4 linked regions of the Arabidopsis thaliana genome follow. The protein of the gene in region 1 interacts with the protein of each later gene in a pairwise test. Each region holds a gene or a part of one and is shown in the gene's direction. Other genes may lie near its edges. The genes, in order: ARF8, IAA15, IAA32 and IAA12.

Region 1 (7,802 bases):
TATAATAGAAGTGGAAAAGTTACACCAAGGAAAATTGAACCTACAATCGAAATAAATGAGATAACAAAAGTATTACAATAAATTTATTGAAAGACACCAAACCAGATGAATGATCCGTTGAGCTATCCAACAAGGGTCTAGATGACATTGAAGAATGTTAATGATAAATAATGAGAACTGAGGCTGGCTTTGAGGATGAATTATGCAATCTTGCATTGCGCTTTTTTCCATATGGAGTACAGTGAGGCTTGATAGGCAATTCGAAGAATCAAAGTAGTTTTCTTGTCACGACAAGGATTCTTCAACCATCTAACTTCATCCTCAAATTGATTTAGAGGAGAAAGATGGGCTTTATCATAGAAATAGTGTCATACCTTTGCAACATAAGAGCAGTCGAAGAATAAATGTTAGCGAGATTCATCCATCAAATTACAGAGAAGACACGACGAAGGAGTAGTCATGCCCCATCGAATCATTTTGTCTCTAGTGAGAAGTCTATGATGAGACTTTAGCCAAGCAATGAAAGCATGCTTAAGAATCCTTCCTGGAAATCACACAGATTCAAACCGATCCATCTTTGTGTCAGGAGGATGAAGATGTGCATAAGTTTTTTTTTGAATATTAATGTGCCTAAGTTTTAGCAGCAGAGAAAATATTTGATGCATGGATATCATCACCTTCCAAAGGTAAACATCATCCTCTACATCCTCTTGTAAGTTAACAGTAGAATAGGAAGGAAGACATTCTTTAAGCAACTGAATAATGGGACTGCGACTTCGAGAATTTGTAAGCCACTATTGTCTCTTTCTCAATGCATCCGCAACCACAACAGAACGAGGGAGAAGAGAAATTCTTAGTCATAAATCTTCAGGTTAGCTCGACAAATATGGTCCCAAAAAAATCCAATTATCAGTCCAGAAATTACAAGTTATTTCTGAACCAATTTCACAAACGATGAAAAACCTAGTTAAGGGTCTTAACTTGCAAAGATTATTCCAAATCCAGCTTCTCCAAGTGATACACTCCATATCCCAAATTTTTTAAAAATTATTCAAACAAGATCCATGTGTATTAGTTTTCTCTTTTGGTAAGTAAAATAGTGGTATCCATAAGATGTTGGATTATCGGGCATCTATTTGCTAATGATTGTTTCTAAATTAGAACTTAGATTTGCGAATCTAATAATACATCACTTATCAATAGATAAACCTTTGACCATTTTTTCAACGAACTCATAAAAGATCCAACAAAATATTTTTTGAGTTATTAAATTAAATACTACTATAAATTATCTTTAAATAAATCAAATTATGGGAGTATTTGGTGTTTCTTTCATCAATGAATGGAGCAAAAATAAAAAGTATTTAAAATAAACAACGCTAACATTTATGACAACTCTATTATCTCTCTCTCACTCTCTCACTTCAAATACTATAATTCATTGTCCTTTTCATCGAATCCAAGACCTCAAAAAAAACAATTATTATTTTTCAACGATCAAGATCTCAAGAGTCAAATCCAACGGTCAAAAAGAAGTGACTCTGGTACTGACACCACCTCTCATAATTCTCGTTAGTAGGACCTCTCTTCTTCTTCCTTCTCTCCACTGTATCGGATCCGGGTCAAATCCGGGTCGGGTGGAGTCGGGTCGGGTCTCTTATAAGAGGAGGAAAACCACTTACTCACTTTCTTCTTCTTTTCTCTCTCTCTTTCACCCCCACGCACTCTTCTTTTCTCTCTCTGACACATATCTTTTTCTCTCACTAACCATTTCTTTCTCTCTCTCTCTTCTGTTTTTGAAAGCCAAAGTGTCTCTCTTGGACAGTGATGGAACTGCTTCAAGAGATTTAATTTTTTACCCACGAGAGAAGTCAAGTTGTTGAAGAAGAAAGATTTGTTCTTTTGTCTTGTTTCTTTCATTTTTTCATCCACAAAGATCTCAAAGACAAGAGTTTTTTTTTTTCTGTTGGGGTTGCTTCAATGCGTACTTGTAGTAGAGAGCTTGTGTTGTTGTTCATGGTTTGATGATGAGAAGAAACAGATTCTGGTTTTGAAGAAATGGGGTTTGTTCTGTTTCTTGTGTTTAAGGGTTTTATGGATGGTTTTTTGATTCGAAGCTTTCACTGAGTCTTATGGTTGTGAGTGAGATTTTTGGGGGTTTGAACAAAGGAGATGGAGAAAGACGAGTTTGTACTTCCGGAGCTAAAGAGTTATAGCTACTGTAGTAGCTGGAAGTGAAGAAGATTTTTTAATAGATTGTACGGAAAAATTAGGGTTTTCAAAGTTTGGTTTCTTGAAGTTGAATTAGACATGAAGCTGTCAACATCTGGATTGGGTCAACAGGGTCATGAAGGTGACTTGTTTACTCTCTGATTTTCTTAGTTCTGTTTCTGGACAAGTGTTTTCTTAGTTCTTGTGTCTGTGTTTGTTCTAACAGGAGAGAAGTGTCTGAATTCTGAGCTATGGCATGCTTGTGCTGGACCATTAGTCTCTCTTCCATCATCTGGTAGTCGAGTTGTTTACTTTCCACAGGGTCACAGTGAACAGGTTTGGGTTGTTGTTTAAAAGTATGGAGCTTTATTTTTAGACTTGTGTTATATTTGGGCATTTCCATTTAAATAGAAGTGTACTTGTAGGTAGCTGCTACAACTAATAAGGAAGTTGATGGTCACATACCCAATTACCCAAGCCTACCACCACAATTGATATGCCAGCTCCATAATGTTACAATGCATGTGCGTAGTTAGTTCCCTGTCCCTTTCCATATTCAATTTTTACTTTTGTAAACTAGTTTTGGGATGATGTGCTTTGTAAGTATGGGTTTCGTTTCTACTATTTCAGGCAGATGTTGAGACGGATGAAGTCTATGCTCAAATGACACTTCAACCATTGACACCGGTAGATACATTATACATAACAGGTTTTTGAGTCTGTGAATTAATAACTTAAGCTTTAGGATTGGTGTTGTTTATAGGAGGAGCAGAAGGAAACATTTGTACCGATTGAGTTGGGGATACCGAGTAAGCAACCTAGTAATTATTTTTGTAAGACTCTCACAGCTAGTGATACCAGTACACATGGAGGGTTTTCTGTTCCTAGACGTGCTGCTGAGAAAGTGTTTCCTCCATTGGTATTATACTTTTTCTTTTACTTACTTTGCTATAAATTGTTGTTGAGAAAATATATGTATTCCTTTTAATATCTTGTGTCTTCCCTGTTGCAGGATTACACACTGCAGCCACCAGCTCAAGAACTGATTGCAAGGGATCTCCATGATGTTGAATGGAAGTTTAGGCATATCTTTCGGGGTAGGTTTCACCTTTCCTCGGTGTGCGTTGATGATCCCTTTTTAACTGTAGTCGCCAGTGTAAAAATTTCAATTGGCTGTTAAGTATGTCTGAAGCAGCATCTGCTGTTATTTTCACTACTCATGTGTGGTTTAGTTGAAGAAACCACGGAGGCTCTGTGTTCTTGTCGTTGTCTATTATAACGTGGAATTATTTACTTGTTCATATGAAGTTAAGTTGATTTGAATCCTTCTTCTTGGTTTGTTAGGAATAACTTACATGGTTTTGGTGTGATTATGCAGGACAGCCCAAACGGCATCTCCTAACTACTGGATGGAGTGTCTTTGTCAGTGCCAAGCGACTAGTAGCTGGAGATTCTGTCATTTTCATCAGGTTTAGTTCTTTTGTTGTACGTTCAGTTTGTGGATTGTGATTATATTTGTAACACTATTACTTGTTTCCAGGAATGAAAAGAATCAACTCTTTTTGGGAATTCGTCATGCCACTCGGCCGCAGACTATTGTACCATCATCTGTTTTATCTAGTGATAGCATGCATATTGGACTCCTTGCTGCTGCTGCACATGCTTCTGCAACTAATAGCTGTTTCACTGTTTTCTTTCATCCAAGGTTGAAAAATCTCTCCCACCTGCATCTTTTTCATCTCTCGGTATATCCGATAATATATCCTACTAATATTCTCTTCATGTTCAGGGCTAGCCAATCTGAGTTTGTGATACAACTTTCCAAGTACATTAAAGCCGTTTTTCACACGCGTATTTCAGTTGGGATGCGCTTTCGCATGCTCTTCGAGACAGAAGAGTCGAGTGTCCGCAGGTGATGATGCCACATATCTGGAAATGCAATCTTGAAACTGAGAAAACTATATCATTATGTTACACATATTACTTTAACATGTTTTCTGACAGTGGCATGGGGAACTTTCCAGGTACATGGGTACTATAACTGGTATTAGTGATCTAGATTCTGTTCGTTGGCCAAACTCTCATTGGCGATCTGTGAAGGTAACAACACTATTAAGCCTGTTACCTTATTTAAATTCCATGGAACGTCACACAGCTTTCTGATGATTTAGTCCAATATTACTCTGAAATTCCATCAACATTGATGAACTGTGGCATTATTGGTGTAGGTTGGTTGGGATGAATCGACTGCAGGGGAGAGACAGCCAAGGGTTTCTTTATGGGAGATTGAGCCTCTGACTACCTTTCCTATGTATCCATCTCTTTTTCCTCTCAGACTAAAACGTCCATGGCATGCTGGCACATCATCTTTGCCTGGTATCCACCTTTTGGCTCTTCTCCTAACTGTTATTAACTAGTATAGTACGTTCGTGAAGTCTCTTACTGTCACTCAGTGTTTCTGCTATTGTAACTTAGTTGCTACTTCGGATAAATAACAAATGTTCGATTGAGTAGAGCTCTGAAGAGGGTCTTACTGTTATAATTTATTTACAAAGAAGTGTGTAGGTACTCTCCATAGCTATTTACTCAAAACATTATGATGTTACAGATGGAAGGGGTGATTTGGGAAGTGGTCTAACATGGCTAAGAGGGGGAGGTGGAGAGCAGCAAGGTTTGCTTCCTCTAAATTATCCATCTGTTGGTTTGTTTCCATGGATGCAACAAAGGCTGGATCTCAGTCAAATGGGGACTGATAATAATCAGCAATACCAAGCAATGTTAGCTGCTGGGTTGCAGAACATCGGCGGTGGAGATCCTTTAAGACAGCAGTTTGTACAGCTGCAAGAGCCTCACCACCAATATCTTCAACAATCAGCTTCCCATAATTCTGATTTGATGCTTCAGCAGCAACAGCAGCAACAAGCGTCACGCCATCTCATGCATGCTCAAACACAGATTATGAGTGAGAATCTTCCGCAGCAGAATATGCGACAAGAAGTTAGTAACCAACCAGCTGGACAGCAGCAACAGCTACAGCAACCGGACCAAAATGCATATCTTAATGCTTTCAAAATGCAAAATGGCCATCTTCAACAGTGGCAGCAGCAATCAGAGATGCCATCTCCCTCGTTCATGAAGTCAGATTTTACTGACTCAAGCAACAAATTTGCAACAACTGCTAGTCCGGCTTCTGGAGATGGCAATCTTTTGAATTTTTCTATAACCGGTCAGTCTGTACTCCCTGAGCAGTTAACAACAGAGGGCTGGTCTCCAAAAGCATCCAACACTTTTTCTGAACCGTTGTCACTTCCACAAGCCTATCCTGGGAAGAGTCTTGCTCTAGAACCCGGAAATCCGCAGAATCCCTCTCTTTTCGGTGTTGATCCCGACTCTGGACTCTTCCTCCCCAGTACGGTTCCCCGCTTTGCTTCTTCATCAGGAGATGCTGAAGCTTCCCCTATGTCACTAACAGATTCAGGATTTCAGAATTCCTTATATAGCTGCATGCAAGACACAACTCATGAGTTATTGCATGGAGCTGGACAGATTAACTCGTCCAACCAAACCAAGAACTTTGTAAAGGTGCTGGTTTGTTCTAGGCTCACCGACTTCTCTGTGGCTCTACTGTCTCTAAGAAAATACTGATATGCTTACAAATCCAAAACTGCAGGTTTATAAATCTGGTTCGGTTGGGCGTTCATTAGACATCTCCCGATTCAGCAGCTACCACGAGCTGCGAGAAGAGTTAGGGAAGATGTTTGCTATCGAAGGGTTGTTGGAAGACCCCCTTAGATCAGGCTGGCAGCTTGTATTCGTTGACAAGGAAAATGATATTCTTCTCCTTGGTGATGACCCATGGGAGTAAGTAAAGTACTCTTCTTCTATTTGTATACATTGCTTTAGATTTGAGATAGATCTTTAAAAGCTTGTTCTGCAGGTCATTTGTGAATAACGTTTGGTACATAAAGATACTATCACCAGAAGATGTGCATCAAATGGGAGATCATGGAGAAGGCAGTGGTGGGTTATTCCCGCAAAACCCGACCCATCTCTAGAAGCTGCTTCGGTGTTAGTCTCATCATGCTACAACGCGGGAGCCCTTTGTTTCCCATTTGAAGTCGTTTCCACTCATCTTTATATGCCATTCGTTCGCATCTCTCTCGTTTTGACGTTTTTAGAAAGAAACATAATCATATTTGTGAGTATGGGTCCTGAAACTTTAGGACGTACTTTAGCTTGTATTAGACAGACACTCTCGTCATAAACATAAGAACCTTTATGTAGCTGTCTCAGGGTAACTAAACTTTTCTAGTATTTATTCTTATTCTATTTTTGTAACAACATTGTTAGACATTCAGTTTGGTCAGACCAATTAGATTCCATAAGGTGTGAAACCAAAACCAACCAAATCTTTAAAACACAACCATTAATCACAAAATGTTACCAAAAGCTTCTACTAGTAACTTAGGTTGAAGAATGACATAGATGAAGTACCAACAACTCATTTTCTCCCTTTCTTTTTGACCCAAAGAGTACTTAAACGTGCACACACATCAGACTTATCAACCTTGGACAGCATTCATGGCATCTCTCAATCTCTTATCATCTTTAGCATCATAGAAGCATTTACGTCTCTTCGAGTCACTTATAAGGTTTGCCCAAATCGAACCACTCCGAGCCAGTGTTGACTCATTTCCAATCACCCATAAACAGTGCCTAGCTCGAGTGAGTGCCACATTGGCTCTTTGACGGTTACTGAGAAATCCAACCTTCCCGTTACTATTACTTCTAACGGTAGAGATGATGATAATGTCTTCTTCACCACCTTGAAACCCATCTACAGACCGAACATTCACAGTGAAAAGCTCACCTGATAAGGAACTGTACTTATCTCTGATTCTCTCTTGGATTGCTCTAACTTGTCCTTTGTAAGGAGTAATCACTCCAACACTCATTTTCATCTTTCTTTCCCTAGAAACTGTTTCAACATTAAGCAAATTTTGTCAAAAGGAATAATGAAACAGTTTAAATACTATACACTTATAAATCAATAAAGATTATATACCTTTGAAAAGATTTGATATGATTTCAGAAACCACAGCAACTTCAACCATGTTCTTGGGACTATCTCCATCACCAAACTCTTCTTTTCCACGTCCAACATTGATAAAAGAAAATGAGCCAAACATGTTTCCTTGAAGAAACCTCTTTTGATAAATACTTTCTTGAACATTTGCAGCATCTTTGATTCTCCCACCATAAAACTCTTTATAAGGGAAACGACTAATCGAAGGATGCATTCGGTACTGAACATCAAGCAAATGCTTTTTATGACCAAGCAGAACCAATCTCTCGAACAAGCTTCTTCCGAATTTCGCCTTCTCGCATTGATCGTTATGAACCATTGCAGGTAACTGAAACTCATCTCCTATTAGAATGGCGTGACGTAGTCCAGGAAGTTGCAATGCAGCAACTGATTCACATTCTTTAAGCTGAGCTGCCTCATCAACCACAAGAACTTCTATATTTCCAGTCCTTTCCTCATTTATTTCTGCAGCACCTGAGGCTGTGCATATGATTTATGTCTGCAT
Region 2 (4,010 bases), on another chromosome or scaffold:
TTCTAAATTTTAAAATTATACTGTAAATGTTATTGATATATTTAGTTCTTAATAGAGTTTTAAACCCTTTTTTCTAATGCATGTTAAGACAAAGAAATTTAATATGAAGTTCATTATAGAGATATGACACTCTAATTATCTGGAACATAACGGAATAAGATCTTAATCAAATTCTGGATTCCGTTATGTAGATTTTTATGGAATGACAACAAAAGAAAGAAAAAATAACTGGGCTTATTTTGGGCTTGATACCATAATGGCATTATGATGTATCAAATCTGCCATGATGTATTCTTGACCCACTGTAGGAAACCTGGATTGGTTTGGGCTTAATTGGATAAACAATCTGTATAGAATTTACTGGTTTCGTAATTCTCTAAGTCTCGGACCGCTCTATTATGTTATCGCAATTTATTATACCCAAGTAAATGTCCAAGACATCAATATCAGTTTTCTAGAGCCTAAAAGCAGTTTCGATTATTTGAGACAAAAAGTATCAATTAACATTAAATACTAGCTACCAAATTTATGTACTTCTTATTATTATCTCACATATTTTGTTACGAGTCGAGTTAAATGAATTATACGACTGTTTCATTCCATGCGCATTATAACGAAAGAAAACAAACTTAGAAAACAATGGCTGACCGGAATTACCGGTCACGGGTTTGTAATCGAAACCGGTAAATTCGTCTATGTGTCGCCAGTAGGACCTATTAGCCCCTGGTTTAACTCTTATTGCCCTTATTGGTCTAAGAATAGTGTCGTGAACCATCGAAAAAATCATTTATGATTCTATGTTCCCCAACGAAAAACAGAGTCACGTGACTTACGCATGTGACCCTACGCTGCTGTAATTAATGTTCTGCTCTTTTCCTTTGTCTAAACTTTTTTGACATCTCATTTCATATTGCATGTAAATAATATGACTAATATGAAATTAATACCGGACACTGAAAAACTTTTCAGTAAAAACTTTATACTTGTTCACTAAAAAAGGGATAGTTATCTATCTCTAACTTTTTTTATCCCAAATCATGAAACTTTTAATCGCTTTTATACAATGATTGATGTTCATTATATATTTTATTTTAGATTTTATTTCAATTTTGAAGTAGAAGTTTCAACATTTAGTTCTGTTCACATTGTTTTTTTGGTGGGAACATTCTTTTCATTGTTTACAAGATCCACACGCATATTAGTTGGGATTTCTTCTGATATTCGGTGAAAGATTAAACTAATGAAGAAGTATTGTACCTAATTAGTGTGTAGTGTACGATGATAGATAATTAGGAATATATTGTTAGACCATGATTTGTTTTCGACCGACGACAGTGAAAGTTGATGTACATATATAATGGTGAAACTTTTTTACCAAGAAAAAGTTAGTTGGAATGATAATTTAAAGGAGTAAAGCGACAACAAAGTGTAGACAAAAGGAACACTATTGAAGATCTCTCCCGAAGAATATATTGGACTGAAGTTTTTTTTTTTTGGTCTAATGTTAAATTATTGGACTGAAGTTGACAAACACAAACAAATATATATGGGAATAAAGTTTATTATATTTTCCAACGATTATAAGCAAAGGTAACATGAATGCGATTAAAATGATATTTTCAACTCTATTTAGAAAGTAAATAATGGTATTTAGAATATATATTTTTCTCGTTTTGTGAATGCTAGTGGATAATATAATCAAATTATATATTTTTCTCCTTAATCGAACCCATCAGTCGTGACGTGGGAGCTTAAAGATCAGGGCTGATTTCTTCTTCTTCTTTCTTCTTTTTTAGTTGACAGTGATTTCTTCTTCTTCTTCTTCTTTTGATACCAGGCTAATAGAAATTAAAACTGAAAAGATATCCGTACACATGCAATTACATCCACTAATGACAGTTTAGAAGATGCTAAGTGGCTATAACTATAAATGAGCCCACACCACACGAAGTAGAAGCTAATCACCAAACTGTTCACTTGCTTTCGTGGAGATATAAAAACCGCCAGTTACAGGAAAACGTGTCATTATAGGTAGGGTTCACTAGTTTTTTAGCTGACAAGTATAGATCGACTATAAATACAAAGTTGGAAACCTCGAGAGTCTCACACACTCAAGCCAAAAGTTAGTGCCACATTGTCTCATCACTTTCCGCACTTTTGTTGTTAACTAACTTTCATAAATAGATTAAGATATTAATGTCACCGGAGGAATACGTTAGGGTTTGGCCGGATTCCGGTGATCTTGGAGGAACTGAGCTGACCCTAGCTTTGCCTGGCACTCCGACAAATGCATCGGAAGGTCCAAAAAAGTTCGGGAACAAACGTAGATTCCTCGAGACCGTTGATTTAAAACTCGGGGAAGCACACGAGAACAATTATATCTCAAGCATGGTCACTAAGTACGGCATATATATATTATATTAATTTCATTTATCGTTCATATAGGTCATATGCATGTTTGATTGATCTTCTTAATTTATTGTGGTTTTAGTGACCAGTTGGTGGGCTGGCCGCCGGTAGCGACAGCGAGGAAAACAGTGAGGCGGAAATACGTGAAAGTGGCGTTGGATGGTGCGGCCTATCTCAGAAAGGTTGATCTTGGGATGTACGATTGCTATGGACAGCTTTTCACCGCTCTAGAAAACATGTTTCAGGGGATAATAACAATATGTAAGTGATCGAGATAAGTAGGAAAAAATAAAGATTTTGATGTGTTTGGATGGACTGACGAAGTGAAGGATATTATGGTAAATTTACTTACACTTGGGGTTTTGGATGGTGGTAGGTAGAGTGACAGAGTTGGAGAGGAAGGGAGAGTTTGTTGCTACTTACGAGGATAAGGACGGTGACTTGATGTTAGTCGGAGATGTGCCGTGGATGTGAGTTCTCGGAATTACCCTTTGTGTTGCTTTTACGTACTTTTCCTTTTTTATTCAAAACTAGAATTTCTGTACTATTTTGTTACTTACATTCATATCAAAACTAGAATTACTGTATTATTCTGCTGTGAAGGAAACTAAATTTTCTTGGGATTGATGATATTTAATTTGTGTAGGATGTTTGTGGAATCTTGCAAACGTATGAGGTTAATGAAAACCGGAGATGCTATTGGATTATAGGTCTCTATTCTGCTTCCCACAACGTAAACGCATCGGATCTTCGAAAGGCTATATAAGATTATGATCACAAATGCATTAAATACTGTAGAGATGTATACAATTGCATTTTTGAATTGCAATATGCTATATATGTAATTTCAAACCTTTTTTGGCCGTGGATTTTGTATGTAATGTACTACTATTGTTTAAATGATTTTACTTTTTTTTTTTTTAATTCAATAATTACAAACCACTTTTAAGCATCAGTGCCGACCACCACGATCCGGGCATGACGACATCGACACTCGACAAGACGGGATGCTCAAAGTTTTAATATGTTTTTTTTAAAAAAATTACACGTTTCATTTTTATGCATTCGAATTTGTGCATTAAATGATCCTAGAGATCGTAATATAAAAGCGGATTTTTTTTTTTGTAAGAATGCTAGGTCTTGTAACATTTTTCTCTAGCACTCGTAGACCTTACTGTTATTGATTACATGCAGGAATATCAATAAACGAAGAACTAAAAATGGAATTGAATACTTGAGATTGACATTAAATTATCCTAGAGATCGTAATATAAAAGCGGATTTCTTTCTTGTAACATTTTTCTCTAGCACTCTGTATATATCTTATTGTTATTGATTACATGGCGGAAACATCTATTATCAATAAACGAAGTGCCATTTGAAAATTTAAAATTTTAACATTTATCCAAAAATAAACTTATAGTTTTAGTAGTAATGTAAAAATAGAATTTTAAAAACATTTGTTAAAAAAAAAAACAAGTGTTAAAAGTTTAAATAGTGTGTAAACCATTTTAAATCTAGGACACTTTTTAGGGGTTTGCATGTTGTGTCCAAATATATATACAAAATTTAAAAATTTAACACTTATAAAAAACAAACCC
Region 3 (5,189 bases), on another chromosome or scaffold:
AGGATTCTCAGATTCTGATACTAACGTCAATCGTTTACTTGGTTTGGATGATGCTCTTGCTCTCCGTTCTAATTCCGGTGACAACAACAATCGAGATGGTGATGATGGCTCTGTTAAAAGCGCCAAGCAACAGCAACCTCCACCGCCGCAGCAGCAAGAACAACAGCAAGGAGGCCAAGATGTGAACTGCTTACCGGATTCTCCGATGTTAGATACATCCTCTTCTTTCGGCTCCACTTCTTCGTCTCCCTCGCTCGCCAATTTGCCTCCGATCCGTGTCCATGTAGAGGAACCAGGCGGAGTAAGGACTTTGCCAGATCAGAGAAATCTGGGAATTGAAGAACAGTTCGCACGATTCAACGTCGGGAACAAGCATCAGCTACATGACGACGGATTTGCTGCGATCTCTTCACCACCGCCGATGCCTGTCACAATCGCCCTTCCTGCTGCGCCTGTGACTGCAGCCACCGTCTCTAATGAGTTCCAGGCCAGGGTTTACTCAGATGACGAGAGATCCGATCACGGCGTGCAGGCTGGATACAGGAAGCCTCCGACTCCGCGATCGCAGCCGCAGAATCTACCGCCTCAGCAGGCTCATCAGCTGAAATCAAATAGCGGTGGTGGACACGAGCTGCCATCACCCAATTCCGTTTCCAGGTACTCTTTCTTCTTATATTGGAACCCTCATGAGCCTTAATTTGATGCTATAGAAGAACTAAGATTGGTCAGAACTCTGATTGTGTGTTTGCTATATAATGAATGCCTCAGTGATAGCAGTATGAGCAACCCAATGTTTCACCAAAGACCATCTGTCTATCAAGAACCAATTGCTCAGATACCTTCTGGCTCTACCGTTGTTACTGGTATGATCAATCCCTCAGATCCAAGCACACTTTTGTCACAGCATCAGAATCAGGACCCAGCCTATATCCTTCACCCCCAGTTTGAGCAACAATCTGCACAATCTCAGCCACAGCAGCAGTTCATACACACTGCTGCTCCTCCTCAATACATTCATCACCATCCGTCTAGCGGCCTTCCTGTCCCGACTTACATCCAGGTTTACCCTTCGCAACAGCCTCAACAGTCCTTCCATCAACACGCAGGTCGACTGGATCAGCAGCCTTATCCTGTTTATTATGTCACTGCTCCTGTCCCACCTAGGCCCTACAGTATGCCTGTGCCACAATCTCCAAGTGTGAGCGATGCTGCAGGGTCTATCCCCTCTAACCATCCCAACTCTACCATGATGCCTCCACCTCCTAACAACCACATGAGAAGTGTTAGCAGTGGCAAACCTGAGATGGGACAGGCTGGGGTTTACACAACAGCCCCAGGTGTGGGCGGTGCTCAGATGGTTCACCAGATTCCCACAAACCAGCAGCAATTCATGGGGTATTCGCAGATCCGTCACCCTCCTCAGTCTGGTTCAGCTGGGAATCCAAACTATGGATATGAATATGTCGACAATGCTCATACACAGATATACTACACTCAACCTATGGGACATGCACAGTACCAGACAATGACTGGGCCTCCACCTGCCATGGTGATGCCTGATGGTTCTGCTGCTGCTAAGCTTCCAGCTGAGAACATGACTCAACAGATCCGGAGTTCACAGCCATTGTGACACACACAAGGAACACATGAAGATGAACCACAAAATTTTGGAGGAAGAAAACCCCGGGTTGGTTTTTAAACGTATAAATATATAACTTTTACTTCTTTTTTCTTCTCTTCTTTTACAAGTTGCTGCATCAAAAAAAGAGTCTGGTGTCATGTTAAGTTTGGTATTATGGGTTGTGTTTAAAAGTGTTGTGTGAGTAAATTAAAAAAACAAATAAATAGTGCTTCTTGGTGGGATTTTACATTATATAGTTGCAATTGATACATGTAGTGCTTTACCATTTTCCTGGATCTTATATCATATTATTATCATTCATTTCATTTTGTAAATGTATCACTTTTTTGATCATCATCTCTCTATCTTGTTTTTTCAAGAGACTTTGAAGGCTATAATATTGTTCAGAAAGATTCTGAAATGTTATGTATAACATTTAATATTTGGAAGAATGTATGTCTGGCTTCTTGCTATCCATGGGAGCATAGGTACAGATATTAAAACATGTGTGTGGTCTTGCAAAAGTACACACAAACCCTACAACTTCTAAGAGACAAGGTGTGGGTGAAAAAGGTAGTGACAAAATCGATCTGTCTTGCAATTTAGCAACACAACTATCTCTTTTGAAAGAGATAGGCATTTGTATCTTTACCTAAACACCAAACCCAGTCCTTTTTATCTCTCTCTCTATACATGACTCAAAGATATTTTACTCTTGCACTACACTATTCTCTCATAAGCAACACAGAGCCTCACTTTGAATCGAGTTGTCAATAGTCCCAGATAATATTTCTGCAGTGTTCACAGAGTTGAGATGTGACTTTGTGCATCAGAAGCATTGGCAGACCTGGTTGGATTACAAGATCTGAACCAAATCTCTCTCTGTGGTCAGCTCCCCATCCCTTGCTTCAAACCAACTGGATCTTAATGGGTTTTTCTTGTCTTATGTCTCTTTCATGTCTGCAATTCTGTCTTTTTTTCTTTAACTCTTCTGACACTCTTTTAGCATCAGCTCATACTATAAATCTTTAGAAGTGAGCTCTCTTTTTCTCATCTCACTTTCCCTTCTCTGCATCTTTAGAAATAAAAAAGCATCAATGGACCCAAACACACCTGCAGACTTCTTCAAAGGTTCTTCCAAGTTTCATACATATTACTCACAGACCAAAAAGGGTGGTGGGGTAATCGATCTAGGCCTCAGCCTTAGGACCATACAACATGAAACTTACCTCCCACCGGCGCGAAGTGAGTTTTTTTTTTTTGCTGAATAGCCGTGCTTTCACCTCATCATTAGTTAGTTTTCTTAATCCTCAACTTGCTACCTTCAATATCTATATGTGAATCAAAGTGATAGGTCTCGACGGGTATGGAGAGCTCATAGACTGGTCGCAGCCCAGCTATAACAGCATTACACAGTTGAAGAGTGAGGACACTGGACACCAAAGACTTGCCCAAGGATATTACAATAATGAAGGAGAGAGCAGAGGAAAATATGCTTACGTAAAGGTAAATCTGGATGGCCTAGTGGTAGGGCGCAAGGTTTGCCTTGTTGATCAAGGAGCTTACGCAACTCTTGCTCTTCAGCTCAATGATATGTTTGGTAAGCCGTGTTCTGACCCCCAAGCTTCCAGCTACAAGTATGTTTCAGAAGGTTTTGCCACATTAATTCGAATCTGCAGGGATGCAGACCGTGTCGGGATTGAGGTTGTTCCAGACTGAGTCTGAGTTCTCTTTGGTCTACAGAGACAGAGAAGGCATTTGGAGGAATGTTGGGGATGTTCCATGGAAGTAAGCTCTTACATTTTCTCTATACAAAAACTAAGCATTTTAAGTTAACCACTTTGTAATTTGTCTGAAACCTGTAGGGAGTTTGTCGAAAGCGTGGATCGGATGCGAATCGCAAGAAGAAACGATGCTCTTCTTCCCTTTTAAGCTTTTAAGTCCAAGCTTCTTCTGGGGCGTTCACTGATTATCTAAGATCCAAATTAGCTCACTTGTGGTTCTATTGTTCAATATCTGATGTAATGGAAGCTTTAAGCTATAAATACGATTATGAAGAGAGGGACATCTTAATAACCAACCACCAACAAGACTGGGACAAATAAAAGAACAAAATAAAACAAAACAAACGGTAACCACATTAGTGTCATCAGGCTTATGCTTCAAAATACATTGCAGCTTCAAATTTCAAAACAAGCTTTATGTGCAATCTCTAGATGTCTCAATCGCCGGCCACGGGTAATCTGTCGAGCGTATCAGAAACGTGCCTCATGGTAGGCCTTTTCTCTGGACTGCTATTCACGCAACTGATTGCAATCTTAAGAACAGCAACAATCTCGTCTTCCGTCTCTGCCTCAGGAGCCAAACAAGGATCAAGAACATCACACAATGGTTTCTTCTCCTCAATGCATACCTGTACCCACCGCACTAGATCCATTTCCGATGTCCCCACCTCCACTGCGGGAGACCTACCCGCTATCAATTCCAGTAAAATGATCCCATAAGAGTAAACATCCCACTTCTGTGAAGGTTTTACCATCTTGAGAGTCTCAGGTGCTTGATAGTAGGATCCAGAAGAAGAGTGAGCAGTGAACTCCGAAGATACGCTCTTGTGATGGTGTTGTTGCCTCTCTTGCGGCTGTTGATCCGTTTGGATGATTCTGTTAGACTGTATGGTCGGAGAAGATCCTCCAGCGATGTTAGCTAACCGTGCTAGTCCAAAATCTGAGATCTTAGGTTCCATGTCCTGTCCAATGAGAATGTTGCTTGGCTTGAGATCTCCATGGACGTATTTCTTGGGACTAAACTCATGCAGATAAACAAGCCCTGTAGCAATCCCTTTCATTATCCTCAACCGTTCAGACCATGTCAACGGAGCGATGGTCATCATCCCCGGCTTTCCTGCACATACACACACACACATTTACGATGATGTAACTGAATAATGCATCTTGAAATGAGAAAAGAGTGACTCACCGTGGAGGGCGGTTGCGAGGTTACCGTTGGAAACATAGTCGTAGATGAGAAGCTTTTCATCGACAGACCAATAATAAGCTCGAAGACTAGCAATGTTAGGATGTTTTAGTTTCCCTATGGCTTCAACTTCTGTCTGAAACTCCTTGAATCTCTGAGACCCTCCTTCACCCAATCTCCGTACGGCCAGTGTGAGCCCGTTCTCTAGAACCACTTTGTAGACAATTCCGATTCCGCTCTTCCCCAGAACGAAAGCTGACGCCTTTAGCAGCTCCTCCAGGTTAAACGCAACCTGAGCGTCGAGGGGAACAATGTCGCAATGCTCCACGTTTTCAGATGGCGTTTCGGATTCGTCTTTACGGAAACACAGACACTCAGAAGCCCTTTTCTTGGATTCTTTCTCGACTCCGAATTGGTTCTCGCGGTTACAAGCGCAGAACTTTGAGTAGCAGTAAGTGAAAAGCAAACCCACAAGGCAGATACCAAACACGTCGCAGAGAACAATGGCAATGACGGCGCTTTTGCTCAAACCACTTGATTTCTGTTTGGTTTCAGAGTTAGTACTATCAGAATCCTCAGGTGGGTTGTTGCTTGG
Region 4 (4,608 bases), on another chromosome or scaffold:
AAGACAAGGATCGAGAAACAAAGATCAGTGAAAGATTACGATCGTGGCCGAGCTTCCCCGTACTTATCGAAGCACGGAACACCATTGAGATCAAACATTATCGCATCTACTCCGATGAGATCTAACGGAGTTGGATCAACTCCTATGAGATCCAACATCATCGCAATGTCACCGATGCATCCCAACATGGTTGGATCGACTCCAATGCGAACTCCTATGCGGTCTAACATGGTTGGTTCGACTCCAATGAGATCAAACATCGTCGGATCAACCCCGATCCGATCAAACTACATGGCTACACCGATGAGAACTCATCACGATTTTGGTACACCAGTGAGGAATTTAGCTGGAAGACGAATCTTAACTGAATCGGAGTTAGGACCATCGCCATCTGAAGTGGCTGACAAATTGGCGAAAGATAGATCGCACGAAACGGAAAGTTCAATACTCAGCGAATGGAGCATCGATGAATCTAGCATCGAAGGATTGCGATCAAAACTCGAGAGATGGCGAACAGAGCTTCCACCGTTGTACGACATAGGATCAAGCCATATAAGTAGCACTGATTACGATGGCGCGAGCGTTCCAGCTGCAACTGCCGGGGGAGGAATGAGTTCAAGACGGAAAACTCCGACGACGAAAAAGCATAACCGCCGTCACACAGATGGAGGTAATGGACTTTTCTCGTGTTTTAGTAAGATTTGTGGTGTGGAATGCAGTTTCGTATGCGGTGGTGGTGGTGGGCCGATGGTCTCAGAAGGATCTACTAAGAAAGGTGGAGCCGGACGTGTGCAACGCACATATTCCGCTGACGATCTGAGCTTTGTGTGATCTTTATTTTATTGGTCTTATATTAACTTTTATTTTTTTTGGAAAACTATATTTTTTAAGGATCTGAGCTGATGAATTAATCAAATAGTAAACAAAAATTAATTTATTAATGTTGTGTTAATAAATCATTTATTTTTGTGTATTCCTCTTCTTCTTCCTTATTTTTAAAAAATTAAAAAATGTTCTTCTTATAATATAGTGTTTAATAGAAAGTGAGCTCACACAACAAAATTAGAAAACTGTGAATGAATGTAAGAGAGTGAGTGGAATAAAAAAAATATAAAAATGAAATCTAAGAGTGAGTGAACAAATGTTGGTATTGTAGACAATGGTGACTAAAATTAAAAAGAAACAAAATGATATAAACATTAATCTAAAAAAAACTAAAATAAATATACAAATTCTGCATTTCTAACTATACTTTCATGTATTATGTATACTTATTTGATTCATACATGATATAACCGGTTATTTAGTTTATTTTCTATCAAATCCATCAATTAGAGCATGAAATCTATGTACTCCTTGATAATGATTTTGATCAAAAGTGTAATTTCCACAAACCAATTGCGCCTGCAAAAGTTTTCAAAGGATCATCAAACATAATGATGAATATCTCATCACCACGATTTTATAATAATGCATCTTTTCCCACCATTTTTTTTCCCTCACTTTCTTTTATAATCTTGTTCGACAACAATCATGGTCTAAGGAAAAAGTTGAAAATATATATTATCTTAGTTATTAGAAAAGAAAGATAATCAAATGGTCAATATGCAAATGGCATATGACCATAAACGAGTTTGCTAGTATAAAGAATGATGGCCAACCTGTTAAAGAGAGACTAAAATTAGGTCTAAAATCTAGGAGCAATGTAACCAATACATAGTATATGAAATATAAAAGTTAATTTAGATTTTTTGATTAGCCCAAATTAAAGAAAAATGGTATTTAAAACAGAGACTCTTCATCCTAAAGGCTAAAGCAATACAATTTTTGGTTAAGAAAAGAAAAAAACCACAAGCGGAAAAGAAAACAAAAAAGAACTATATTATGATGCAACAGCAACACAAAGCAAAACCTTGCACACACACATACAACTGTAAACAAGTTTCTTGGGACTCTCTATTTTCTCTTGCTGCTTGAACCAAACACAACAACGATATCCCAACGAGAGCACAACAGGTTTGATTATGTCGGAAGACAAGTTTTGAGAGAAAACAAACAATATTTTATAACAAAGGAGAAGACTTTTGGTTAGAAAAAATTGGTATGGCCATTACAAGACATATGGGTCCCAATTCTCATCACTCTCTCCACCACCAAAATCCTCCTCTCTCTCTCTCTCTTTTACTCTGTTTTCATCATCTCTTTCTCTCGTCTCTCTCAAACCCTAAATACACTCTTTCTCTTCTTGTTGTCTCCATTCTCTCTGTGTCATCAAGCTTCTTTTTTGTGTGGGTTATTTGAAAGACACTTTCTCTGCTGGTATCATTGGAGTCTAGGGTTTTGTTATTGACATGCGTGGTGTGTCAGAATTGGAGGTGGGGAAGAGTAATCTTCCGGCGGAGAGTGAGCTGGAATTGGGATTAGGGCTCAGCCTCGGTGGTGGCGCGTGGAAAGAGCGTGGGAGGATTCTTACTGCTAAGGATTTTCCTTCCGTTGGGTCTAAACGCTCTGCTGAATCTTCCTCTCACCAAGGAGCTTCTCCTCCTCGTTCAAGGTTCGTCCTTTTTCTTATTAAGAAAGCTCAAATCTTGTGATGTGAGTGTTATGCCATCTCAGGACAGAATTGTGTAGGTGCTTTTGTTTTAGTTTACCCTGAATAAGAGTTAGGTATCTATCTCCATTGATGAGCTTGTGCTTGTCCTGTGCTATAGATTTCTCTATGGAGTCATGCAAATGCTAAGATTTGTTCATTTTAATGTCTGTTTAGATGATTACATCTGAATTTCGAGAGCCATTGAGTGGAAATTTCTTGGTTTGTTGTGGCAGTCAAGTGGTAGGATGGCCACCAATTGGGTTACACAGGATGAACAGTTTGGTTAATAACCAAGCTATGAAGGCAGCAAGAGCGGAAGAAGGAGACGGGGAGAAGAAAGTTGTGAAGAATGATGAGCTCAAAGATGTGTCAATGAAGGTGAATCCGAAAGTTCAGGGCTTAGGGTTTGTTAAGGTGAATATGGATGGAGTTGGTATAGGCAGAAAAGTGGATATGAGAGCTCATTCGTCTTACGAAAACTTGGCTCAGACGCTTGAGGAAATGTTCTTTGGAATGACAGGTCTGTACTGTTTTCAAATGCGTACACTATAAACCCGATGTTTTCTATGAATCTACTGATAGTTTCTGTTTTATCTATCAGGTACTACTTGTCGAGAAAAGGTTAAACCTTTAAGGCTTTTAGATGGATCATCAGACTTTGTACTCACTTATGAAGATAAGGAAGGGGATTGGATGCTTGTTGGAGATGTTCCATGGAGGTAAGATTCGGATATTAAGCAGTATTGCAGTAGTTCAAAACCTGATTAGTCTCTTTTCTCTCTTTTTGTTTAGAATGTTTATCAACTCGGTGAAAAGGCTTCGGATCATGGGAACCTCAGAAGCTAGTGGACTAGGTAAGTTTTAAAGATCATCTTCTGGTTTCTTGATTTCTCGTCTTGACTAATGAAAAAGACTGATTGAATCATTTTTAATGCAGCTCCAAGACGTCAAGAGCAGAAGGATAGACAAAGAAACAACCCTGTTTAGCTTCCCTTCCAAAGCTGGCATTGTTTATGTATTGTTTGAGGTTTGCAATTTACTCGATACTTTTTGAAGAAAGTATTTTGGAGAATATGGATAAAAGCATGCAGAAGCTTAGATATGATTTGAATCCGGTTTTCGGATATGGTTTTGCTTAGGTCATTCAATTCGTAGTTTTCCAGTTTGTTTCTTCTTTGGCTGTGTACCAATTATCTATGTTCTGTGAGAGAAAGCTCTTGTTTATTTGTTCTCTCAGATTGTAAATAGTTGAAGTTATCTAATTAATGTGATAAGAGTTATGTTTATGATTCCAAAGAATGAATATTTGTTCCTTAATATGGTTTGTTGTTTTCTGTCTTTTTGAAGTTTCCATTGACTCGAGTCAAAACGTTTTGCAGAAACAGAGAAGAGTGTGTCATTAAAAAAAACAGAGAAGATGTTTATTTTTTTTGGTCGAAGAGAAGATGTTTCTAAGACCATCAAAATCATATATTGATGATTGATGACAAGAAAAGTTTTGACCATCAAAAGTTTTGTCCTTAATTGTTCTTAAATTCACACAAAATACGTTAAGAGTTATCTTTTAAAACTGCAAACTACTTTAAATTGATAAACTTTGAAAAGTAAAGATTTTATTCTTAATCTGATAGTTGAAGACAAAGAAAATAACAAATGTTTGGATTCACGTCACCAAATCAAAATATAATAAGGTTATGGATTGTTTAGGTAATATTTAACTTGTTACCTAGAAAAGGAGATACAGTGCTTAGCAAGTCCAACCAAAGATTAAAGGATAAGTAGTAAAGTCAAAAGACCAGTAAATTAAAGTCTTGTAGAGAAAGGAAGAAGGAAGATTCATGATCCTTGATAAAATTCAAGTTTGGTGAAATTCTAAAGACCACGGTTTAGATTTTTGGGGTTTGCTTTGGAATAAGATAATGGATCATCAATGGCGCATGAGGTTTTCGTTCAAGAACGCAACAATTGCTCTCACTGTCATCAACGTTCTCATCTTCCTCTTCCTCCTTCAGGGC

What was found.
Region 2: the proteins of ARF8 (region 1) and IAA15 interact in a two-hybrid assay, tested with the Arabidopsis thaliana proteins (2 studies listed by BioGRID).
Region 3: the proteins of ARF8 (region 1) and IAA32 interact in a two-hybrid assay, tested with the Arabidopsis thaliana proteins (2 studies listed by BioGRID).
Region 4: the proteins of ARF8 (region 1) and IAA12 interact in a two-hybrid assay, tested with the Arabidopsis thaliana proteins (2 studies listed by BioGRID, with this or other methods).

What each region holds. Positions count from the first base shown.
Region 1 is NC_003076.8:14,627,841-14,635,642, forward strand, and holds ARF8 (auxin response factor 8), read left to right. Parts: upstream 1-1,612; 5' UTR 1,613-2,310; coding exon 2,311-2,353; intron 2,354-2,437; coding exon 2,438-2,547; intron 2,548-2,636; coding exon 2,637-2,735; exon of another isoform or gene 2,736-2,841; coding exon 2,842-2,898; intron 2,899-2,974; coding exon 2,975-3,130; intron 3,131-3,223; coding exon 3,224-3,308; intron 3,309-3,589; coding exon 3,590-3,680; intron 3,681-3,751; coding exon 3,752-3,916; intron 3,917-4,000; coding exon 4,001-4,123; intron 4,124-4,235; coding exon 4,236-4,311; intron 4,312-4,439; coding exon 4,440-4,587; intron 4,588-4,819; coding exon 4,820-5,793; intron 5,794-5,881; coding exon 5,882-6,072; coding exon of another isoform or gene 6,073-6,076; intron 6,077-6,148; coding exon 6,149-6,266; 3' UTR 6,267-6,614; downstream 6,615-7,802. Other genes in the region: AT5G37030 (P-loop containing nucleoside triphosphate hydrolases superfamily protein), read right to left, coding at 6,774-7,189, 7,277-7,746. UniProt on the Arabidopsis thaliana protein: Auxin response factors (ARFs) are transcriptional factors that bind specifically to the DNA sequence 5'-TGTCTC-3' found in the auxin-responsive promoter elements (AuxREs). Seems to act as transcriptional activator.
Region 2 is NC_003070.9:30,220,889-30,224,898, reverse strand, and holds IAA15 (indole-3-acetic acid inducible 15), read left to right. Parts: upstream 1-2,129; 5' UTR 2,130-2,196; coding exon 2,197-2,399; intron 2,400-2,491; coding exon 2,492-2,678; 3' UTR 2,679-2,879; intron 2,880-3,055; 3' UTR 3,056-3,270; downstream 3,271-4,010.
Region 3 is NC_003071.7:115,667-120,855, forward strand, and holds IAA32 (indole-3-acetic acid inducible 32), read left to right. Parts: upstream 1-2,351; 5' UTR 2,352-2,508; exon of another isoform or gene 2,509-2,702; 5' UTR 2,703-2,718; coding exon 2,719-2,866; intron 2,867-2,969; coding exon 2,970-3,221; intron 3,222-3,300; coding exon 3,301-3,409; intron 3,410-3,486; coding exon 3,487-3,553; 3' UTR 3,554-3,842; downstream 3,843-5,189. Other genes in the region: PDE331 (Octicosapeptide/Phox/Bem1p family protein), read left to right, coding at 1-657, 769-1,630; AT2G01210 (Leucine-rich repeat protein kinase family protein), read right to left, coding at 3,843-4,522, 4,598-5,189. UniProt on the Arabidopsis thaliana protein: Aux/IAA proteins are short-lived transcriptional factors that function as repressors of early auxin response genes at low auxin concentrations.
Region 4 is NC_003070.9:1,238,231-1,242,838, forward strand, and holds IAA12 (AUX/IAA transcriptional regulator family protein), read left to right. Parts: upstream 1-2,063; 5' UTR 2,064-2,351; coding exon 2,352-2,554; intron 2,555-2,826; coding exon 2,827-3,113; coding exon of another isoform or gene 3,114-3,145; exon of another isoform or gene 3,146-3,194; coding exon 3,195-3,312; exon of another isoform or gene 3,313-3,385; coding exon 3,386-3,447; intron 3,448-3,530; coding exon 3,531-3,580; 3' UTR 3,581-3,927; downstream 3,928-4,608. Other genes in the region: AT1G04540 (Calcium-dependent lipid-binding (CaLB domain) family protein), read left to right, coding at 1-831; AT1G04555 (uncharacterized protein), read left to right, coding at 4,513-4,608.